2 linked regions of the Canis lupus familiaris genome follow. The protein of the gene in region 2 purifies or fractionates together with the protein of the main gene of each other region. This does not show direct contact. Links are inferred from orthologs where the notes say so. Each region holds a gene or a part of one and is shown on either strand. Other genes may lie near its edges.

Region 1 (9,621 bases), on a different chromosome or scaffold from region 2:
TTAACTATTATCACAGTTTTTTTTTAAACAATGTCCAAACCTCTTATGTCTTTTCACTTTTCTCCCTCATTCAAGCAGAATGTAAAAGATCAGTGGTTTGGAATTAGAATACATTTAAAAGTCTATAGTAAATAACCAAATGCAGTATGTGACCCTTGATGGAACCTTGGATTTGGGTGGAAGGGCTATGAAGGGCATTATTAAGCCAAAGGAAAAAAATACAATTAGAGACTAGATATTAGGTAACAGTATTGAAAAATATTAAATTTCCTGCATATGGTAATTATATAATGATTACATTGGAGAATACTCCTCTTTTTCAGAGACACATGCTGAAATATTTTAGTGTTCATGAAGTATCATGATATATGCAGCAGTTAATTCTCAAATGGCTCAGCAAAGAGAGAGAACTATGTGAATACAAAGATATTGATGGAGAGATAAAGTAAAAGTGGCAAAATTTTGACAATTGGTGAATCTGTATGAAGAGTATATGAATGCTTATTGTTTTTCCTATAATATTTAGGAAGGTATGATAGTTTTCAAAATAAAAAGTTTAGAGGGATCCCTGGGTGGTGCAGCGGTTTAGCGCCTGCCTTTGGCCCAGGGCGCGATCCTGGAGACCCGGGATCGAATCCCACATCGGGCTCCCTGCATGGAGCCTGCTTCTCCCTCTGCCTATGTCTCTGCCTCTCTCTCTCTCTCTCTCTCTCTCTCTCTCTGTGACTATCATAAATAAATAAAAAAAAATTTTTTTAAGACTTATTAAAATAAAATTAAAAAAGTTTAGAGAAAGTTTATAATAAAATGCAAAACACCGGAGAAATTTCAAGAGTGTACCTACTACTACTACTATCATCATCATCATCATCATCATCATCACCATCGTTGCCTGGGAGTTAAGAAATAATCCTATTGTGTTTTGAATTGGAAAATTTTAACTAGGAAAGAGATGTCAAGAACTTACCACTGAAGCATTTAGTACTACTGATGCTCTTTTCCCTTAATTTTTCAAACATCACATTCTTGATTTTTGTCTTATGCTGTTCCTTAAAGCACCTCTTCCTGTTTCATTAGACATTTCTCAGAGATCTCCCTTACAGTCATTTCTACGGCTTCATAGCTATGTTGCTAACTCACAAACCTTCACCCTCTACCCAATGCGTTTTATGAATTCCAAAACCAGTTACTCTTTTTGAATATGCCCACTGGAATCTCAAACTTAACATGAACAAAAGTGAAAACTGGAGTAGTAATTACACACCTTATAAATTTCTCTTATGTCTCTACTTAGTGAATAACACTACCTTATTATTCAGTGGCCCAACCCAGAAAACTCTCCATTCCTCCCTCTCCTGACAACCATTCAACACATCCAATTACACGTACATCTCTAAACCTGTCTATATCCCTTAATCTCTTCAGTCATGATTTTAATTAGTCCATCATCAGCACCTGCCTGAATTAGCACAGATGTCTCTTTACTATTCTTAGTCCTCTTCAATCCACTCTCTATAAAGCTGAATAAACATCAAAAGTATAGATCTGATCACGATATTCTCATATTCAAAATTCTTCTTCTTTTAGGAAAAAGACCAAATTTCTCAGGAACTGACTTGTACTTATCTCTCCGGAGGATCACAAATGTTTAAACTACAAAGGCAAGATAGTACAGTGGTTTAGAACAGACTCACTGAGTAGGTTTGGATTCAAATCCTGTTTTTACCACTTATTATTTCTGTAACCATGGACAATTACCCTTTCTTTGTCTGTTTCCCTATCTGGAGCATGGGGAAATGTTACCTATCTCAAATGATATGTATGAAACAAGGAACAACAAATTAGTGCCTATAAAGTATCTGGCACATAATAAGGATTCTACACTAGCCATTTTTACCTATATTTCAGCCAAAATGAATAATTGTAATTCCCTAAATTCACCATGCCATCTCTTCCCTCTAGATCTTAGCAAATGCTGTATCTTCAGCCCAGAATGCCCTTTCTTTAACCACCACGTATACCCCATACCCTTGCCAGACTAACTCCTAATTCAGGTCTGCTTTTTGGTGTTTTGTTTTTAATAATTTGTTTTAAAGATTTTCTTTATTTAAGAGAGAATGTGAATGGGAGAGCACGAGCAGGGGCGGGGCAGAGGCAGAGAGAAAGAAGCAGATCCCCTACTGAGCAGGGAGCCCAATGTGGGCTTGATTCTAGGACCCTAGGAATCAAGGGAGAATCAAGGGGAATCATGAGCTGAAGGCAGACCCTTAACCCACTGAGCCACCCGCGTCCTTCAGGTCTCAGTTTACAAATCATTTCCTGAACCTCAAGACTGATTTAGTTATCCCTCCCCAGAGTAGGGATATGTTACATTTATTATAGACAATGAATATCAAGAAGCAGGATAACATTACCCTCTATATTCCTAGCATCTAACAGTCTCTGGCAAGCTAAACTCAATAAGGGCAAAGAAGAAATTGCCAATAACTCATATTCCATCTCAAAGAATCTAACAACTGGAATGGTACATAGGCCATATATTCAAGTTTTCTGTATTTGTTTCTATGAATAGATAGTAGTCTAAGAATGGACAAGATAGTTCTGATTAACAGGATATGGATATGAATGACAAAAAGTTGATTAATATGGGCTAGATGGAAGAACAGTTCGGAAAATGACAGATATCCCCCTAACAAGCAAATCTATTTCTGTATATCATAGATTGAGTCCTTAATGATTATTAAGAAATTCATAGGTCTGCTTTGTTTTATTAAGTCAACTAAACAGACAATCCTCTAAGAACTTATTCCTAACCTTTAGGTGGCATCAATCCATACATTTTTCAGCACAAAAATGGTATGGATAGATCACTTTTACATGAATCTTTTAATTATGTAAGAAAATAAATATATCAAGAATAGGGAAGTTTTTCTTTACAAATCAATTTGTAACACCTTATAACCTTATAAAATAGCGACAACACTTTATAACCATTGTTGTTTACTTAAAATTTATTGCCTTCTACTTCTAAGAGAACAATGGACAAATATTATTAGGATGTAATGAAATATTGACCTAAAAGGACACAAAGGTGAAAGTTTCTGGGAATCAGGGATGGAATGTTACTATGCTTAGGCAGCAGATTCTATAAAAGTTTACTAACAGGTGAGGCAAAATAGGAAATTTGTTTTCTGACAGGATTTTCTAAATACACCTGCAAAAAATTTTTTCCTTAAACTAAATTTAAGAGAACACTGGATGAATTATTTTCTAAATAACAATATAATAATCCAAAAGGTAATAACTATATTTGTCTAAAAGACAAAATGTTGTGATTTAAAATACACATGGATTTAAAAATGCTGGCTTTAACAAACTTTTTAAGAACCTATATTTTTTTTACATATAGGTATTTATTGCACAATATGAAGTACTCCTAAAACCATGGAATTTGATTCAAAGATATAATGAAAACATGAACAGTAATACAAAACTTTAGAGGTAAGCATACATCTATTCTCACATAAAACACAGAAATTGATAGTTGCCATTATAAAAACATAATCAGGTGTTTTTAGGTAACTTAAACAGTTAAAATTCATTGAGGAAATATGCCTTACTTGCTCATTAACCTTCTTCTCTTTCTCCAACTCCTTTTCCATGTCCTCCAATTCTCTATCTTTTTGTTCCAATTGTTTTTCAAGTTGGCGAATTTCATCACGTAAAAACCGAGTGTCTCTTCCACCTGCAGACTGCTGTGCCAACTTAAATAAACCAAAAGTAGAAATCAATCCCATTAGAAGACTCAACAACAAATTGACTTTAAATTTGTTATATATAATCAGCACCAGATGTTTAAAATCATGTAAAATCCACCCAGACACTGACCTCTGCTGCTCTTAAACTACCCTTTCCCTTGTACCCTATTTAAACCAGGGCTGTCCAACAGGACTTTCTAGGATAATGGAAATGTTCTCTGAATGGTTGAGTAGCAGAGCCACTATCTACAAGTGGCTTTGTGAACTTCAAATGTGGCCACTGCAACTACGGAAATGAATTTCTAATTTCTATTGTAATGAATTTAAGTGTAAATAGCCACAAGTGATTAGTGCTACTGTACTGGATGGCTCAGACCAAGATCACCTTTAAAATCTTGGGCCAGATTAGGGCACCTGGCTGGTTCAGTAAGTAGAGCATTCAACTCTTGATCTCAGGGTCATGAGTTTGAGGCCCACGTTAGGGGGATAGAGTTTACTTAAAAAAAAAAAAAAAAAAAAAAACTCTTGTGGCAGATTAAATCCATTTCACTTCATATTCCTGTTATTTTCGGTCACAGTCCAAAACATATCCTTTGGCATCTACCTGTCTCACATTCATCTCTTTACCATACAGCTGTGTTATTCTTATATATTAAATAGCTTTTTCGGGATCCCTGGGTGGCACAGCGGTTTGGCGCCCACCTTTGGCCCAGGGCGCGATCCTGGAGACCTGGGATCGAATCCCAAGTCGGGCTCCCGGTGCATGGAGCCTGCTTCTCCCTCTGCCTGTGTCTCTGCCTCTCTCACTCTCTCTCTCTGTGTGACTATCATAAATAAATAAAAAAAAATTAAAAAAAATAAAAATAAAAAAAATAAATAGCTTTTTCTTACTCTTTTCCTCCTTCAGAACACTTTCTATTGTGCTCTCAAAAATCTTCTTTCAAGATACATTAATAAAATATTAATACATAAATACACTCTTGGCCCTTTTACTGAATCATGTTCTCCATCTCCCCTCCTTAGCTGCAATTTGGTTCCTTTAGTATACTAAATACTTTGGAACTCTTTGGAAGATGCTCATTCTTTCACATCCCATAGACCTCAGGGTCAAGAGAAGGTGTTGATTTACCTCAACTTGCAACTTTCAGGCTATCATTCTTCCACCATCTTATGAAAACTCTGGCTGCTATGAATTCCACATGATAACCAGCTATTCAATCCCTACCTATTCATGGTAGCAGCAAACTACTAACTTCCCAGTTGAGCCCCCTCAAAATTCGTTGGCAATTTTTGGCACATGGCTCATAGTGTTCCACCAAAAGACCCCATAAGCAGTTTTCATACCCATATAACTTTCATTCTAGTCTCTCTCTCTTCTTTTTTTTTCACATGCTTCTTGAATTCACTATAGCCTCCCACTCTCTTGCCCACACCAGAACCTTGTCCAGTGCAAACATTGTCTCATGATTCCTAGTATACCCACCCTCTGACTTCACAGGAGCCTCTAATTCCTTGACCCCTTTCTAACCTCTCATTCAAATCTTGATTTACCCATTCAGCTGAGATTTCATAATCATTATTTTAATCAACCACTTTCTTACCAATATCTCCCACTGTCCTATCCTTCCATTCTACTGTAGCTGTCTAAACACTAACAGAATCAATCTGATTTCATAATTCATTTAGTAAGTATTTATTGAGAATGACTGATATTTTTCTAGAATATAGATATATTATAGGGAACAAAAATAACTCATCCCACTTCACAGTTAGTAAATAAAAGAATCAGGATTTGAACTCAAACTGTCTGACTCCAGATCCCCTAATCTCCAGCTCATTCTCCACTGAGTACTTGAAATATTCCACAAGTATTTCAAGCTTAATTTTCCTTAAAATTTGATCACACATCTTCCACTCTTATTTTTAGTAAATGGGCCTTCACTCCAACCTCTCAACTTCTAGGTACTAAACCTATAAACATAAAAGCTTCTGCACACATCCATTCTTCCCATTACAAAGGAAGGTCGGGATCCCAGAGTGGCTCAGCGGTTTAGTGCCTGCCTTTGGCCTGGGGGCGTGTTCCTGGAGTCCTGGGATGAGTCCCACTTCCGGCTCCCCACAGGGCACCTGCTTCTCCCTCTGCCTGTGTCTCTGCCTCTCTGTGTCTCCCATGAATAAATAAATAAAATCTTAAAAAAAAAAAAAAAGGGAAGAAGGTCTTTCCCCCTTTTAAAGGCTAATCCATTTGTATCACACTCCTTCCCACATTGTCAGGAATTTCAAAATCTTTGGTTAACAATACATTCATATTTGGCTCCTAATTTTCTCAAAAACTACTTCTACCAAATCCTTCCACCAGTATTCCTCAAATTCCCATGTTCCTCCACTTCAGTTCAGTTGCTAGTAGTCTTCTGTACACCTCTCTAGATTGTAAGCTTTGGGGGGGTGACTGAATATTTTTATTTTGTTCACTATTGGATGTTCAATCCTAAGAACTTAAGGTACATGGTAAACGTGTAAAATGTATGTCGAACAAACAACTAATTATGAACACAATGTCATTCTTGTGGTTTCTTCCAGCCAATGATAAAAAATCGAAAACAGTAATTCAAAATAAACAACAGTTACCCCCTAGGTAATAGAAAAGAACTTACCTCCAGTTCATTTTCCAGTTTCATTACTTTAGTTTTTAATTGATTTTCTATTTAAAAAAAAAGTTTCAATTGGTCAGATTCATCTCAAAACAAACTTTTAAATAAATTTCAACAAAGTAATAAAATTATTTCTAAAGACTCCATCATGATTATAATAAGTAACATAAGAAAAAATGACTTTTATACCTCATCCAGGAAATATGAATGCTAGAAATTTCTTACAAAATAAACTGAGCATGTATATTTTATAGAGTATATTAAACAGAAGCCCCCCTACTTAACATTGTGATAAACTTTTCCAGGACATTTACCAAATTTTGCTTGTTCTTCTCCAGCCTTTTCAACTTCCTCCAAAGCTAGCTCAACCTCTTGAGCTTTCATCTAAACATTAAAAAAGAAAGGTTATTTCAATATGCCTTTACATACACACTGAAAATGAAAATGAGAACTTTGTTTCATTTGCTTTCCCAATATTTATTTGTCATTCAGTGCCTGGGATATGGAGACTTTCAGTAAATATTTGTTGAATGAATAGATGATTTTCTTAAGGACATAATTCCTAGATTCCTAACAGCTTGAAGTATATTGATTCCTCTTTTCTCCCTCAAGTCTTATATCCAGTACTGTAACTTTGCCCTTTGTAATGCTTTCTACTATGTTTCTCTATTCCATTTGTCATTATTCTAGCCCATAATCTTATATCTAACCTTCTTCACCATGTTATCTCTAAATAGCTTCAATTCCCTTCACTTAGTCCTATTAATATACCTAGTTGAAGCCTTCCTAAGGCATACTTTTGCACTTATCAATTAGGCTCAAAAACCTCTCATGGCTCCTCATTGCTAATAGCAACATAAAATACACCTGTAATACCCTTGACGGCCTACTGCTAACTATAACCAACATTAGTTTCCTCTACAACCTACTATAAACTTTCTGCACCTGTCTCAACTGTAAAAAATAAGCACATTTTCTAGTCCCAGATTTTACTTGTGATGTCCAGCTGTAGAAGCTTTTTAACATTTGCCACTGCTTTCTACTTACCTAAAATTGCTCATCACTCTTTGCCCTTTATGAGGCCTTCTCTCACCTAAATCTCTTCCTCTCCTAACAAACCCCTTACAAGTCATTCACATTTTTCATTCTGACTTCAGGATTATGTTAACATAATCACAAATGAGTTGCTATATTATTTTTAAACATACCCATTCTGTTTCCCTTATGCATTCTTTTAGGAACTTTGGAGCAGAATCGAGCAATGCTTTGCACACTAAAATTCTCAGTCCATATTTGAAAGAGATCTCTTTTTGAGTGATTTTGATATTACAAATACCTTCATAACAATTAACTTATTTAAGAGCTCCTTAAATGTCCTCTAATAGTCAAATATTGTTAAAACCTACTGCATACAAACCTTCATTAGTGATTGAGTAATTCTGAAAAGGTGTATCACATTTTCTTGACTTTCAGTTTTTAGCTCACTTATTTCCACCTAAGTAAAGAGAAAAGCATCTATTTTATGTTTTATAACCCTTAGTCAAAATGTAAAAACTCTTCTATTTGTAACATTCATTGATCTCAGGGACAACTTGGATTAATCACAGTTGTACATAGATAGATGCACTGTTTATAAATTAAGCACCTTGGATAAGGAAACCAGTAAATTATCTGCCAATTCTTCTTGACGAGGCAGGTCATCTGGATCAACTTTTATTATTTCTTTCCAGTTTATATTAGGTGGCATCTTGAAATCTTTCACTGCGCTTTACCTTCTGGAACAAGACAGGTAGGTGGGTGTTAGCATTTTCAAGATAAACAGCATTACTATTTTTATAGATTGTATCATTTTAACTCTCTATGGTGTTAGCAAAGAGGTATGGCTCCCTAATTGCATAAGAGATAAGTGGGCATAATAGCATTGATCAAAACTATGACAGCTGGCACAAATCAACAGATCCTGCACCGCCTGTAAACTAGGAGTGATTTCTTCTAAAACTAACCTAGGGCAGAACTAAGATTCTGAATCCCCTCCTCCACGCCCCCTTACCACCAAGGCGCGCGAACATCTAGTGGTGCCAAAACGAGGGGGGTGCTTGGAAGGCTGAGAATGAATCCTGATTCGGAGAAGCAAGAACAGGAGCGGTTTAAAAATAATAATAATAAAAACAGTGCAGAAATAAACGACTGAAATGAGCGCAGCTAGGCCAGGGAAAGCAGGGCTGCAGCTAGAAGAAGGCAGATGGGTTGCAGACCAGGCTAAGCAGTGGGGAAGCTAGGCTGTTACGTACGGGCCCTGAGGCTTAAAGAACCTGCTTGGGAAGAAACTGGCTGCTCCTGCTCATCAAGATCCACTCCAAGATCCACCCACCGAACCGAGCCTGGCGATCAGCAGCGGCCCCCGATCCGCCCCCCGGGTCGAGCCTGGCCCCGCCGCCACGCCCGACCGCTCCCCGGCGCCGTTCCACCGGGACTCTGGATCCCGCCAACTGGTGCAGTGCAAGCCAGAGCGGCGGCGGCTGCTAGGCGACACCATTCCCCACCCCGCGAAGGACGGCGCAAGGCCCCGGATGCGAGGGGAGCCTACATTTCACGACCTTGAGTGATGCTTTGCGTTTAGATCCTCCCGCGGGGCCCCTTGGACTCTGTGTGAAAGACGGGGAGAAGGCGAGGGCAAAAGGACTCCAAATCCCAGAACGCAGTTCTGCTCGGAAGCTCGTGCATGCTGGGAACTGAAGTCTAGGGAGGTAGGCTGTTCCCGGCGTGCAATGCGGGAGGCTGCGACCGCGCGGGGGTAGCGGGGGAACGACCCAGAGGCGGGAGGCGCGGTGGCTGAGGCGCGTCTGCGCCGGTGACCTGAATGAGGTAGACCATGACTGTGCCTTCGGTGGCGTCACCAGCCGGGCCGCTTTTCCCGGGATTTCCCTAAGCCGTCTCCTGGTTGGACGCGCTTCCAGGTGAGGTCGGGCCGCTCGGGTCAGCGGCGGGGGAGGCGTGGAGGGGAGCGGTCCCGGCTTAAGGAAGCGCGCGCGGTCGGGGCGGAAGGACTCGGTCCAGGTCTGAAGGGCTGAGGGGGGCAGACCCCTTCTCCTGAGGCGTTTGCGGACGTCCCCCGGGCGGTGCCCTCTGCAGGAAGAAAAAAGAAAGTTTGAGTTTTCTTTGCTTTCAGGATCTACTCTGTGCGGTGGAGTCGGGGCCGCGCGGCCGGGGTC
Region 2 (10,093 bases):
CCAGCAACGGGCAGCCAGCACCATCCCCAGCACACAGAGTCTGTCACACACGTGCATGCACGCATGCAGAAATGCACAGGTGCCCCTTACCAGCCTCAATGGAGCCTGACCAGCGGTCCACCATCTTCTGAATAACGATTTCAAACAGCTCTCCGTCCCGCAGGGCCCTGCCAGAGACAGCGGCAATCAGGCCCCAGTTGGGTGGCCAAGGCTGGGCGGCGGGAGGCTGGGGCCGTGACAGCGCCAACACTGACCGGTTGGAGATGACGATGGCGTCATTGAACTCGCTGCGGCAGTTGTGCCGGAGTGCGGTGCGGCCCCCGTTGGTGATGACTGCATTACTGCCGTGCAGCTGATGGAAGCGCAGGTCAGAGCCCCCGGCCCCTGATGATGGGGAGCTGGGAGACACCTGGTTGTTCCCTTCAGAGAGGGGCTCAGGGGCCGGGGGCACCTCTGTGAGAGTGGTCATCACCCGTTAGGCTTCCAGTGGTCTCCGAGGCCCCCCAGCCACCCCCCAGCTCCTACCAGGCCTGGGCGGTAGCCACCCCAGGCCACCCCAGCACCCCCCAGCTCCTACCCATCCCAGCCCTCACCCACGTCATCCACAATGGTAGCTTGGGCTGCCTGGCCATAGAGGTCCACAACAGCGTAGACGCCAGGGGGCACATTCCAGGCCGCAGGGCCCTGGGTCATCCCGTTGACGAAGAAGTGCAGGGTCCCGTCCTCCCGCCGCACCACGCCCACAGTGTCCCCTGCCTTGGAAGAAGGGGGGCTGGAGTGAGGAGTCAGGCAGAGTTCCCGCCTGGGCTAGTCCTATAGCAGCCCCGATGGGCCTGCCCCCCATCACCAGGCCTGGGCGGCACACCTGCTCCCCCACCTTGAGGCGGTCCAGATTGTGCCCATACTCGTCCAAAATGGTCGTTCCGTTGTGCATCACCCCATTCCCGGTCATCATCCAGGTCCCTAGGAGAACGAGGAAACACAGAGCACATAAGTGAGCCCCGGGCCCCCTGCCCTTCACAGCCCCCACGGCACTCCTCGCCCCCGTGGCAGGCCGCCGCAGCAAAACAAGAACAAGCCAGCTCCGTGGGGGCTGTGGGGGCAGCTTCCCCCTTAGGACCTGATCCTGGCCCCGCCCTCCTTGGGAGCTCACCAGAGCGCAAGTTGGTCATGGTGGAGGGCAACTGGAGGTAGGCAGGGTTGTGGGTGGTGACACCAATCTCAATGGAGCCAGCCCACTTGTCCACCATCTTGTCGATGCGCACCTGAAACACCTCTCCGTCCCGCAGGGCTCTGCTACTCAGCACCACGCCATGGTTGAAGTCATCTGTGGCACTGAGGGCACAGCGAATGCGTAACTGAGCACACCAAAGCTTAGCCCGCCAGTGCCCACCTCACACCTGTGGTGCTGAGCCACGTGGCTGAACTTCACTCTCCAGGAGGCACCCCCCCATACTATCAAGAACTCCCCAGGTCAGAAGCCACACACCCCCCCCCACGCCTGCCTCCTGCTTCTCCACCCCTCCTCCGATCCTGTTAGAGTCCCTGCAGCAGGCTTCTCCCCACACCATGGGCCATACTGGGGCCTCAGGGCAGTGCGTCCCTCGTGGGTGATAGCTGCCTTCTGCCCGCAGTTAGGGTGGAAGAGCAGGCGCTCGGGCTCTGCCTGGGTGGCAGGAGTGGCGCGACGCAGGGCGCCCTCGGGGGACAGTGCCCGCAGGATGGCATTGTTTCGACGCAGCCGGTCGCTGTGGTTGTTATTGTGGACGATGGTCACCTTCACAGCCATCCCGTACAAGTCCACCACGCCGTACACCACTGGGGGTGTCAGTGGGGTAGCCACGCCTGCCGGGGAGAAGGCAGAGAGGGAAGGAATATGGGGAGACCAGCATCAGGGAGACACAGGACGGTGAGGTACAGACCCCTGCCCAACACCGAAAGCCCTAGCCCAATGGCCTGCCTCAGGTATCTCCTTACCCTGATCAATGCCATTGATAAAGAAGTGCAGGGCTGAGTTGGACTTCCTTGTGAGACCAATGTGGTCGCCCTCCTAGTCAGAGCAGAAAAACAAAGATCTGGAATCCGCCTCCAATCAGGCTCTGGCCCAGGCCGCAGGGGAACAGCCCCAAAGGCACCTGAGTCTTGAGCCCCTGAACCCTCCCTCACAGCAAGTCTGGCACAGGGTGAAGCCACCTCATACACAGCACCTTAGCCACCTCTCCAAGCAATTCATGAGCTCATCTCAGGCGTGGAGAAGAAAAGAAAAAAAGAAACCCATACCAAACATAGTGAGCAAGCTTCTTGACTGTAGTCATGACCCCACACGACCCCTCAGAAAAAAAGAAAACCTCTGGCTCTGAAATCTGAGTGCCTAACTACCAGGCAACCGTGCCTTCTCAGAAGGAACCTCTCGGAGAAAGATCAGAAGCCTTGTTCCAGGTCACAGCGGAGACTGGGGTGCCCGGGCAGGGGTGCTGGGTAACAAGGCTGCCCCAGAGCGCGGCCCAGACTGCACGCCCACCCCTTACCTGCAGCTCATCCAGGCTGAATTCACAGTACTCCCGGCGGGTGCCCTTGCCATTGGTCAGGATCCCACAGCCGCTCATCATGATGGTGCCTGTGGGAAGGCAGACGCCCGGCATCAGGCCAGGCCTTCCTTCACCATGGGAAGGTGTCCCCGCCCCGCCAGGGCTGGTACCTGACTGTAAATTGGTCATGGTGGCAGGGTACTCCAGGTTGTTGGGGTTGTGGGTGGTGACACCAATCTCAATGGAGCCCGACCACTTGTCTACGAGCTTGTCAATGCGGATCTTGGGGGGAGCGACAGCAGGAGGGAGAGGAGGGCATGTCAATGTGGAGAGAGGACCCTCGGCCCCACCCTTCCAATGTCAGGGATCGAGCCCCATTTTTGGTTCCCAGAGGGTGAGGTACCAGCCAGGGCCCAGGACCTCACACACCTCAAACATCTCATTGTCCCGGAGAGGGCGGTTGGTCATGACAACCCCGTTGTTGAATTCGTCCAGGGGCCGGCGGCGCTCAGCTGTCTTATTGTTGTTGCTGAGTTTGATGAGAGTCCCACACTTCTCGTGAAAGAGCAGGGCGTCGTTGGAGGTGAGGATGGGCGAGGTGGCAGCCCCGCCAGACCCCAGTCCTTCCCCTGCCGGTGGGGAGCTCAGGTTCACATTTAGGAGCCCCCCGTTGTAGGCAGAAAGGATGGCGTTGCCCACCACCTCAGAGAGCTCCATGCTGGCAAAGTCTAGGCGGCAGGACAGGGGAGGGAAGCCGGAATGAGGCTCTACACGTTCAGGCCCTCCACTCTCCCCCTAATCCTCTCCTGAGGGCCCCCTCCCCTCACCTTCCGCCTCACTTCCCATTCCCCTTCCCAAAGCCTCCAGGGTGCCCTCACCATTATGCGACTCAAGGCTGTTAGGAAACGTCTCCGGCCGGGGCTGCGCTGGGGACACCATGAAGGCTGGGGACCAGGCGGGGTGGGAGGGGAATGAGGGTCCAGCCCCTGCTGCGGGGCCCACAACCAGGACACCCCTCCTGTAGCCCCTGCTTCCCCTTCAGCAGACTGGGGTCTGAGTGGCCCTACCCGAACCCAGACTCCATGGTCACTAGTCACCCATGCCTTCTGCCACTCCCCCTGCCCCGCCTCTTCCCCTCGGCCCTGGCTGGGTTCTCACCTTCATCCCCAGAGGTCGCCTGTTCAGTCAAGGTGGAATCTTCAGGGGGTGCAGAGGGCTCGAGGGGAGGTGTGGGGATGGGAGCAGGGGGGCTGAAACCTGGCTCGGGGGGCAGCACGGTGATCTGGGTGCACTTGCCGTAAAGGTCCACCACGGCCCAGACCCGGGCGGGGAGGCCCGTGGCGGCAACACCACAGTCCCGCCCATTCACCCAGAGCCGCAGCTCCCCAGCAACTGTGCGCTCCACGCCCACACGGTCCCCTTCACCAAGCTGGTCCAGGTCCTGACCATACTCCTCCAGCACAGAGCGTCCATCCCTCAACACCGAGCAGCCTGACACTACCCATGAGCCCCCCTTCAGCCCTGTGGCGCTGCTTGGGAAGTCCAGAACACTGGGGTCTAGGGCCGTCACCCCAATCTCAATGGAGCCACTCCAGGAGTTGACCTGTGATAAGGGTGGTGGACAGAGGCTCAGGATGGGCTACCGTGGGTCCCCAACCACTAGGAAACCACATTTCACAAACCACGTGTCCCCCTCTCTCCACACCCCTAACAGCTAACTGGCTTTTCTCTATTGAGACCCAAGACACGACTCTAGAGAGGTGGTCCTGTGAGCAATCATCTGGACTGTCTCAGGGACTGCTGGGCCCGCTGTACCCCAGCAACTCTGCCCCCACTCTGGGATCTGTCCCCAACACCACCATGCCCTGGCTGCAGCCCCCCTGGCTTCCAGCATCCAAGTTCCCGGCTCTCCATGCCCATCCTCCTAGCTCCTGTCTACCACCCTCCTCCCCCCTCCCAATTCCCCCCACCCCCGACCTCATTTTCTCCAGGGCTCCTGCTCCACTCAGATTCCCTCTCTTCCCAAGTTCCATCTGTGTGCACCTGGCCTCTTCTCCGAGGGGCACACAAGCAGGCACACCTCCCCTCGGCCCCCCTGAGGGTCTCTCCTCACCCACCTCTTCGCCCCAGCTGATCCTCCAACGGCCGGTCCTTCCCCGGCTTCTCTCCTGCGCTCCTACCACATCCCCGACATCCCTCCATCTTTTCACCTCCCCAGAAACCATCCCGGGAGATCTGGACCCTAACCACCCCTGGGGTGGCAGCGTCCCGTGTCCGTTCCCTGCTCCGGGGTCTCGAGCAATCTAAAGCTCTCGCCGTCCCTCTCCCCTTCCCCGCCCGCCGCCTGGTGCCGCGACGGTGTGTCGGTTCGCTCTCGGCAGCCGGCGGCGGAGGCCAGCCCGGCCGTCCCGCCCCGCGTCTCCCGCTCGCCCCCTCCCGCCTCCCTCCCGCGGGCCCCGCTCCGCACCTTGCGGTCGATGCGGACGGTGAAGACGCGTCCATCGCGCAAGGGCTCCCGGCTCAACACCAGCCCGTGGTTAAACTCCTGGCCCGGCTGCTGCCGCCGCGCGGTACGCCCGCAGGCCGACAGGCTCACCAGGCGCCCGGTGCGGGGGTGCAACTCCCCGCCGGACCCCGGCCCTGCGCCGCTCCCGCCGGGGCCCCCACCCCCGCCAGGCCCCGGCCCGGGGCCACCCCCGGAGCCCCCGCTCCCACCCGACCCCGCCGCCATCGCCGCTGACACCGGGGCCGCGCGACAGCCGCGCTTGGCGGCACCGTGGCAACCGCGACGCACAGACACCCAGAGGGAACGGGATTCCGCGCTGGGGCCGGGTATGCTTTACGGCACTGCCGGGCGAGGAAGCATCCCGGGCTAGGGAACTAGTAACCCACCACGGTGGGAACGGAGGACGACGGGGTCGGGCAGGCTTGCTTTACGGCACGGCGGGGTGACGGCGAGGCTCTCAAAGGCGTGTGGGCTAGGACAGGGAGCTTTTGCGACAGAAGAGGAAACGACAGCCGCAGGCCCCTTTACGACGCAGGGGGTCCGCCCCACCTTCAGCTTGGCAACAGCGGCGCCGACGACCCCGCCCTCGCCGAGGTACGCGGCCCCTCTAGGAAGCCGCTTTACGGCGGGCGGAGGGGGTGTGTTCCCCTCGCGCCACAGCCTTCGCAGTGGGTGAGCAGCGGCCTTAGGACCTGGGGAAGGGAGCCGGGCGCTTTATAAATGAACACCTCGGCGCCGCGCGGCTACGTCTTTGCGACACTGTCGCAACCTCGTCGCTTTGTATCACACCTCTCGTGAGGGGCACAGCAGGCCAACTTTGGGGAGGGGGCCGGCGGAGGCTAAAGGGGTTGGCAGTACTTCCAGATAAGCCCACCGTGAACTCCCATCCAGCCAGACCCTTAAATCTTAAAGCCACGGATAAACAGTCCAGTGAAACCTTGGCAGGTGGTTTCCAGCAACGGCGCTGAGGAATTGACCCCCGCCCCCCCAAAAAGACCCCCGAGCTAGGAACAAGCCCCCAGCCCAACTCTGCGAGCTCGCGCTGAGGCTGAAAGGCTGTGACGTCACAATCAAGGCTTTTCGCCCGTAACCGGGACCCCCGATTGTGATTGGATAATTCGGATGAAGGCGGTGATGGGGAAGAAGGGCGGGAACAAATCCCAGAGACAAAGAAGGCCTTTGGGTGGGACAGAGAGAGGCAACCAGAGGGCAACCCCCCAGCCCGAGGGCCCTACTTAGAGTCTGGAACCCCGGATCGCGGCCCCGGAGAGCGGAGCGGAAGTGGACCCGGGCCTCTGCCAGAGCGTCCCCCGCCCGGCGCGGTGGGGGCGGGGCCTCGGGGCGGGGTTATGTGGGGGCGGGGCAGCTGAGAGGGGCCCCCGGGAGGGGCCATGGAGAAGCCGGAGGCTGTGGGGGCCGCTGGCGGCCTCGGTGGGGAGTCTCCGGGAGGGGCGAGCAGGGGAGCGCTAGGAGGCGTCGGAGGAGTCGAGGCAGATGCCGGGCCGCCCTCCGGTGCTGCCTTGTTTCACGGTTCTGAGCCCCCCCTGCACTCTGGAGGGATCGTAACTCGCAGTCCTAGAGTTAGCCGGCCCTCGGCGAGGGTAGCAGTCCCCGGTTCCGGGCCCAGCCAGCACCCTGGGGAGGTTGCGGGCCTGAGCGCCGGGTCCTGCCCAAACCCTGACGGATTCAATGCCCCCTTCCTTGGAACCAGTGTATCCGGGACCTGCGGCCTCGGGTCTGGGGGCTCTGGGGTGTACAACTCGGGATGCAGTCCGCCGCGCTCCGGGTCAACTTGCTCGCACTCCCACAAACCTGGTGAGGGCCGACCCCGGAGCATCCTAAAAAACAGCAGCTCCATCTTGATGCAGAAGTGCCTCCATGCGGACAAGTAAGGAGCCCCGCTCAGGGGGCAGCGGCGCGGAGCCCGGAGGGCGGGGTTCCCGACACTGGAGGGGGCGGAGCTAGGGGAGAGGGTGGTGTCCTAAGAACTAGGAAGGAGAGCGGCTGAGGGCTGTGAGCTGGGAATTCTCGGGTTCCAGGCTCTCTGGGGCCGCAGCTGGGGCCCAGTAAACGTTGTCAGGCCAGTATGTGATTATCATCAGGTATGGCACCCTCGCCTCGCCATCCTCAGGCTCCTGCGCCTCTGAGATCACGAGAGGATACAAGAGAAAGGTTTTTGAATAACTGAAGGAACGAGGGAGGGTTGTGAAGGGAAGGTCACTGGAAGATTTCCTTCTCCTCTCTTGGGTCCTACCCCTATTCCAGGAAAAAGTCTCAGCGGTGGGATGAGATGAATATTCTGGCCACCTACCACCCTGCTGACAAGGACTATGGATTCATGAAGGTGGATGAGCCCAGCACTCCCTACCACAGGTGCTGAGCCCTCAGCCCTCATCATTCAGCCCAGAACCTTCCCTATTCAGAGAGGGTAGAAGGGGAGGCAGAGAGACCCCAAGAACTGGGCACAGCCTGATGCCTGCATCCCAGCACTGCTTCCTCCCTCCTCTGCAGGCTGCAGGACGGTGATGAGGACCTGCCTGGAGCATCCTCTTGCACAGTGACTCCTGAGGCGCTGGCTGAGAGGTGAGAGTCCAGCCAGAGATCAGAAGAGATGTGAGGCCTCTTCCTAACCTCACCCCTGGGGTCAGAGCCAGTTCTGCTTTTTCGGCCACCAAAATGAGAGGTGGTACAGTTCCCTGCTATCAGGACTGACCAAGGTCAAGATCAGGGAGTCAGCCCAGCTAGGCCCCCCTTGTGATCTCCCCTTTGGCGCCCCCAACTAGTCTCCCTCCCCTTCAGGTTTGCAACAATGGACAATTTGTACCCCAAGGTCCTACAGTACGATGATAACAGAAGCCCAGGGTCTTCAGACAACTTTTCCAAGACACGTGAGATGAGGGGTCGGGACTGAGGAGAAAGGGGAGGCAGAGTGAACCCTCCATGGGAGCCTGGCGGGAAAGCCAAGCTCTCACAATGGCCCACAGACTCCAGTGATTTTGAAAAGCACCGAAAGTCACACTACGACGAAGGAAAGTTCCTTACAGCTCAGAAAAATCCTTCTTCCAGTAATAAGCACAGTGACGGGGCTAGCACTAGCATGGGCAGTAGCAGTCGAGGCATAATGCGGGACCCAGAGCCCAGGCCTGCGGAGAGAGGCTGGCCGGGAGGACTGGCCAGAGGAGTCAAAGATGAGATTGGCCTGGTGACCAGGAACCACCTCTTGGAAGTCAAGGGTCAGCTGTGGTGCCTGAGAGGGAGGTGATGGGAGGCACCCCCAGGGAAGATAGAAGGCGGAGGAGGTGGGGTCCTCAGCATAACGGCCCTCGGGAAGCCTGAGACAGCCCTGGGGAATGGATAGGTCACCAGGGTTTTCTCACATGGGAGGAGGACACAGAATTGAGATGAAAATCGGGGGCCTGAGCTTCTCCCCTGAGGGAGGGCATTATGGACACCTGGGGGTCCTAGACCCCCGACGTGGCTGGAAGACTCAGATCATTGGGGTGACTCTCCAGATTCCCGTAGCTTCCGAAATCAGTGCCCAGTTTCAGCCGCCATCACGTCAGACAAGGAGATTGGCCTGCAACGAAAAGAGTATTATAGCAAAGGGAGGTACCTGAGGTGCTCCCCACACCCGGAGCTCGAGGAGGACACAGAAGATGAGCATGACCAGCAGGACAGTGAGAGCTGGGCTGGGTCAGCCTGGGACGGGGGGTGCTGGTAGCCAGCAGACTAGTGGGGTGCCCCAATCTTGATCCCGTGATGCTTGCAGGCTCAGTAAATTTTAACTGGGTGATTGAGAACCCCATAAGCACAGAGGTCCGTCTGCTGGACCACACAGGAAACCCTGTTCAGGATCACCAGGCCACTGAAGACTGCCTGACGGGGACAGTGGCGACATCACAGCCTGGTGAGGGCACCAGGCCACAGTGTCTGGCTTTTGACAAGCACTCAGCCCCCCAGCTCCCCTTCTTTGCATACCGGTGGATCAGCAATGGTTACTGAGCATGGTCCCAAGCATCCTGGTGTGCAAGGCCTGTGTTGTTCAGAGAGGAACCAGGGAGACTCCAAAGGATTTGGGGCCCTCTCCAGCATGGCACTATCCACTGGCCCCACGCCTGCTCCCTGACTCCTCTCTGCTACCCGCCCCCCTCCAGGAGCCGGCCTGTCCTCCAAAGACAGAGCAGAGTCAGGCTGGTGTCAGTGGCTGGTATCCAAGGGGCTCAACTGGCAGAGTCCGGAAAGTTTGGAGAGAGAACCTGGAAGCAATTGAAATTCCCCACACCAAAACCAATGCAGACGTGAGCCCGGGCAGGGGCGAGAGGCTGCCTGTGCTGGCCAGGGAGGGAGAGGGCCTGAGTGGGTGGTTCCAGGGAGTTTCGGAGTAATGTGGGCCGGATCTCCTGGCCGCTTCAAGAAAGCCAGTAGCCCAGTCCTTTCTCTCTGCAGACGAAACCCTGCGGCTTCGCTGGACACAAGAGGAGGAAGCCAGACAATGGAAAATGTAGGCAGCTGGGGATGGGGTGGGGACCAGCCCCTCCCAGCCCTCACCACAATTGAGGTGGGCAATAAAGAGACACGCAGGAGTCTGGGCGCCGTGAGTTGTGACTGGGCCTGCTGGGTCAGTGAGGACAGGAGGAGCGAGGGACCTCTGCACGCAGGAAACCACAGCAGGCGGAGCCCAGAAAAGAGCTGGGAGCTGCTTGGGATACTGGATCAGCAGGGATCTGTGAGGCCCAGAAGACCCATCTGCAGCAGGGTGACAGTGATTGGTGTGGCACCGCCAACCCACCAATCCCAACCTTACCAATAGCACCATGAATTCTTACAACCCTGGGAGGGCAGCGGGGGGAGGGGGAGCGAGTCACCAACCCCATCTTCCAGATGGTGCACCTGAGGACTCAGAGAGCTCACCCAGGGTTACCTCGCCTCTCTGAGTGACTGAATGAGTATTTGACCCCCTATGTGCCTCCCCAATCCCCACAACTAAAGGAGAAAGAAGCAGAGACTAGAGCTCCCAGTAGGAAGGGGACAGCACAGTCTCCGTGGGCGGGGCTGTGGC

What was found.
Region 1: the proteins of NEURL4 (region 2) and CEP290 purify together in Homo sapiens (affinity purification with mass spectrometry; 3 studies listed by BioGRID and IntAct, with this or other methods). This does not show direct contact. The link is inferred for Canis lupus familiaris from reciprocal best matches to the Homo sapiens genes NEURL4 and CEP290.

Annotation. Positions count from the first base shown.
Region 1 is NC_049236.1:29,570,942-29,580,562, forward strand, and holds the start of CEP290 (centrosomal protein of 290 kDa), read right to left. Parts: upstream 8,953-9,621; 5' UTR 8,722-8,952; intron 8,199-8,721; exon of another isoform or gene 8,185-8,198; 5' UTR 8,157-8,184; coding exon 8,055-8,156; intron 7,905-8,054; coding exon 7,827-7,904; intron 6,794-7,826; coding exon 6,724-6,793; intron 6,460-6,723; coding exon 6,413-6,459; intron 3,765-6,412; coding exon 3,621-3,764; intron 3,502-3,620; exon of another isoform or gene 3,437-3,501; intron 1-3,436. UniProt on the Homo sapiens protein: Involved in early and late steps in cilia formation. Its association with CCP110 is required for inhibition of primary cilia formation by CCP110.
Region 2 is NC_049226.1:32,488,285-32,498,377, forward strand, and holds the start of NEURL4 (neuralized-like protein 4), read right to left. Parts: upstream 5,260-10,093; coding exon 4,996-5,259; intron 4,874-4,995; exon of another isoform or gene 4,754-4,873; coding exon of another isoform or gene 4,646-4,753; intron 4,132-4,645; coding exon 3,687-4,131; intron 3,473-3,686; coding exon 3,407-3,472; intron 3,257-3,406; coding exon 2,958-3,256; intron 2,811-2,957; coding exon 2,699-2,810; intron 2,618-2,698; coding exon 2,529-2,617; intron 2,051-2,528; coding exon 1,978-2,050; intron 1,846-1,977; coding exon 1,581-1,845; coding exon of another isoform or gene 1,506-1,580; intron 1,336-1,505; coding exon 1,154-1,335; intron 964-1,153; coding exon 878-963; coding exon of another isoform or gene 866-877; intron 757-865; coding exon 594-756; intron 454-593; coding exon 255-453; intron 168-254; coding exon 91-167; intron 1-90. Other genes in the region: uncharacterized protein LOC106558815, read left to right, coding at 6,426-6,922, 7,300-7,407, 7,546-7,617, 7,834-7,922, 8,019-8,267, 8,547-8,755. UniProt on the Homo sapiens protein: Promotes CCP110 ubiquitination and proteasome-dependent degradation. By counteracting accumulation of CP110, maintains normal centriolar homeostasis and preventing formation of ectopic microtubular organizing centers.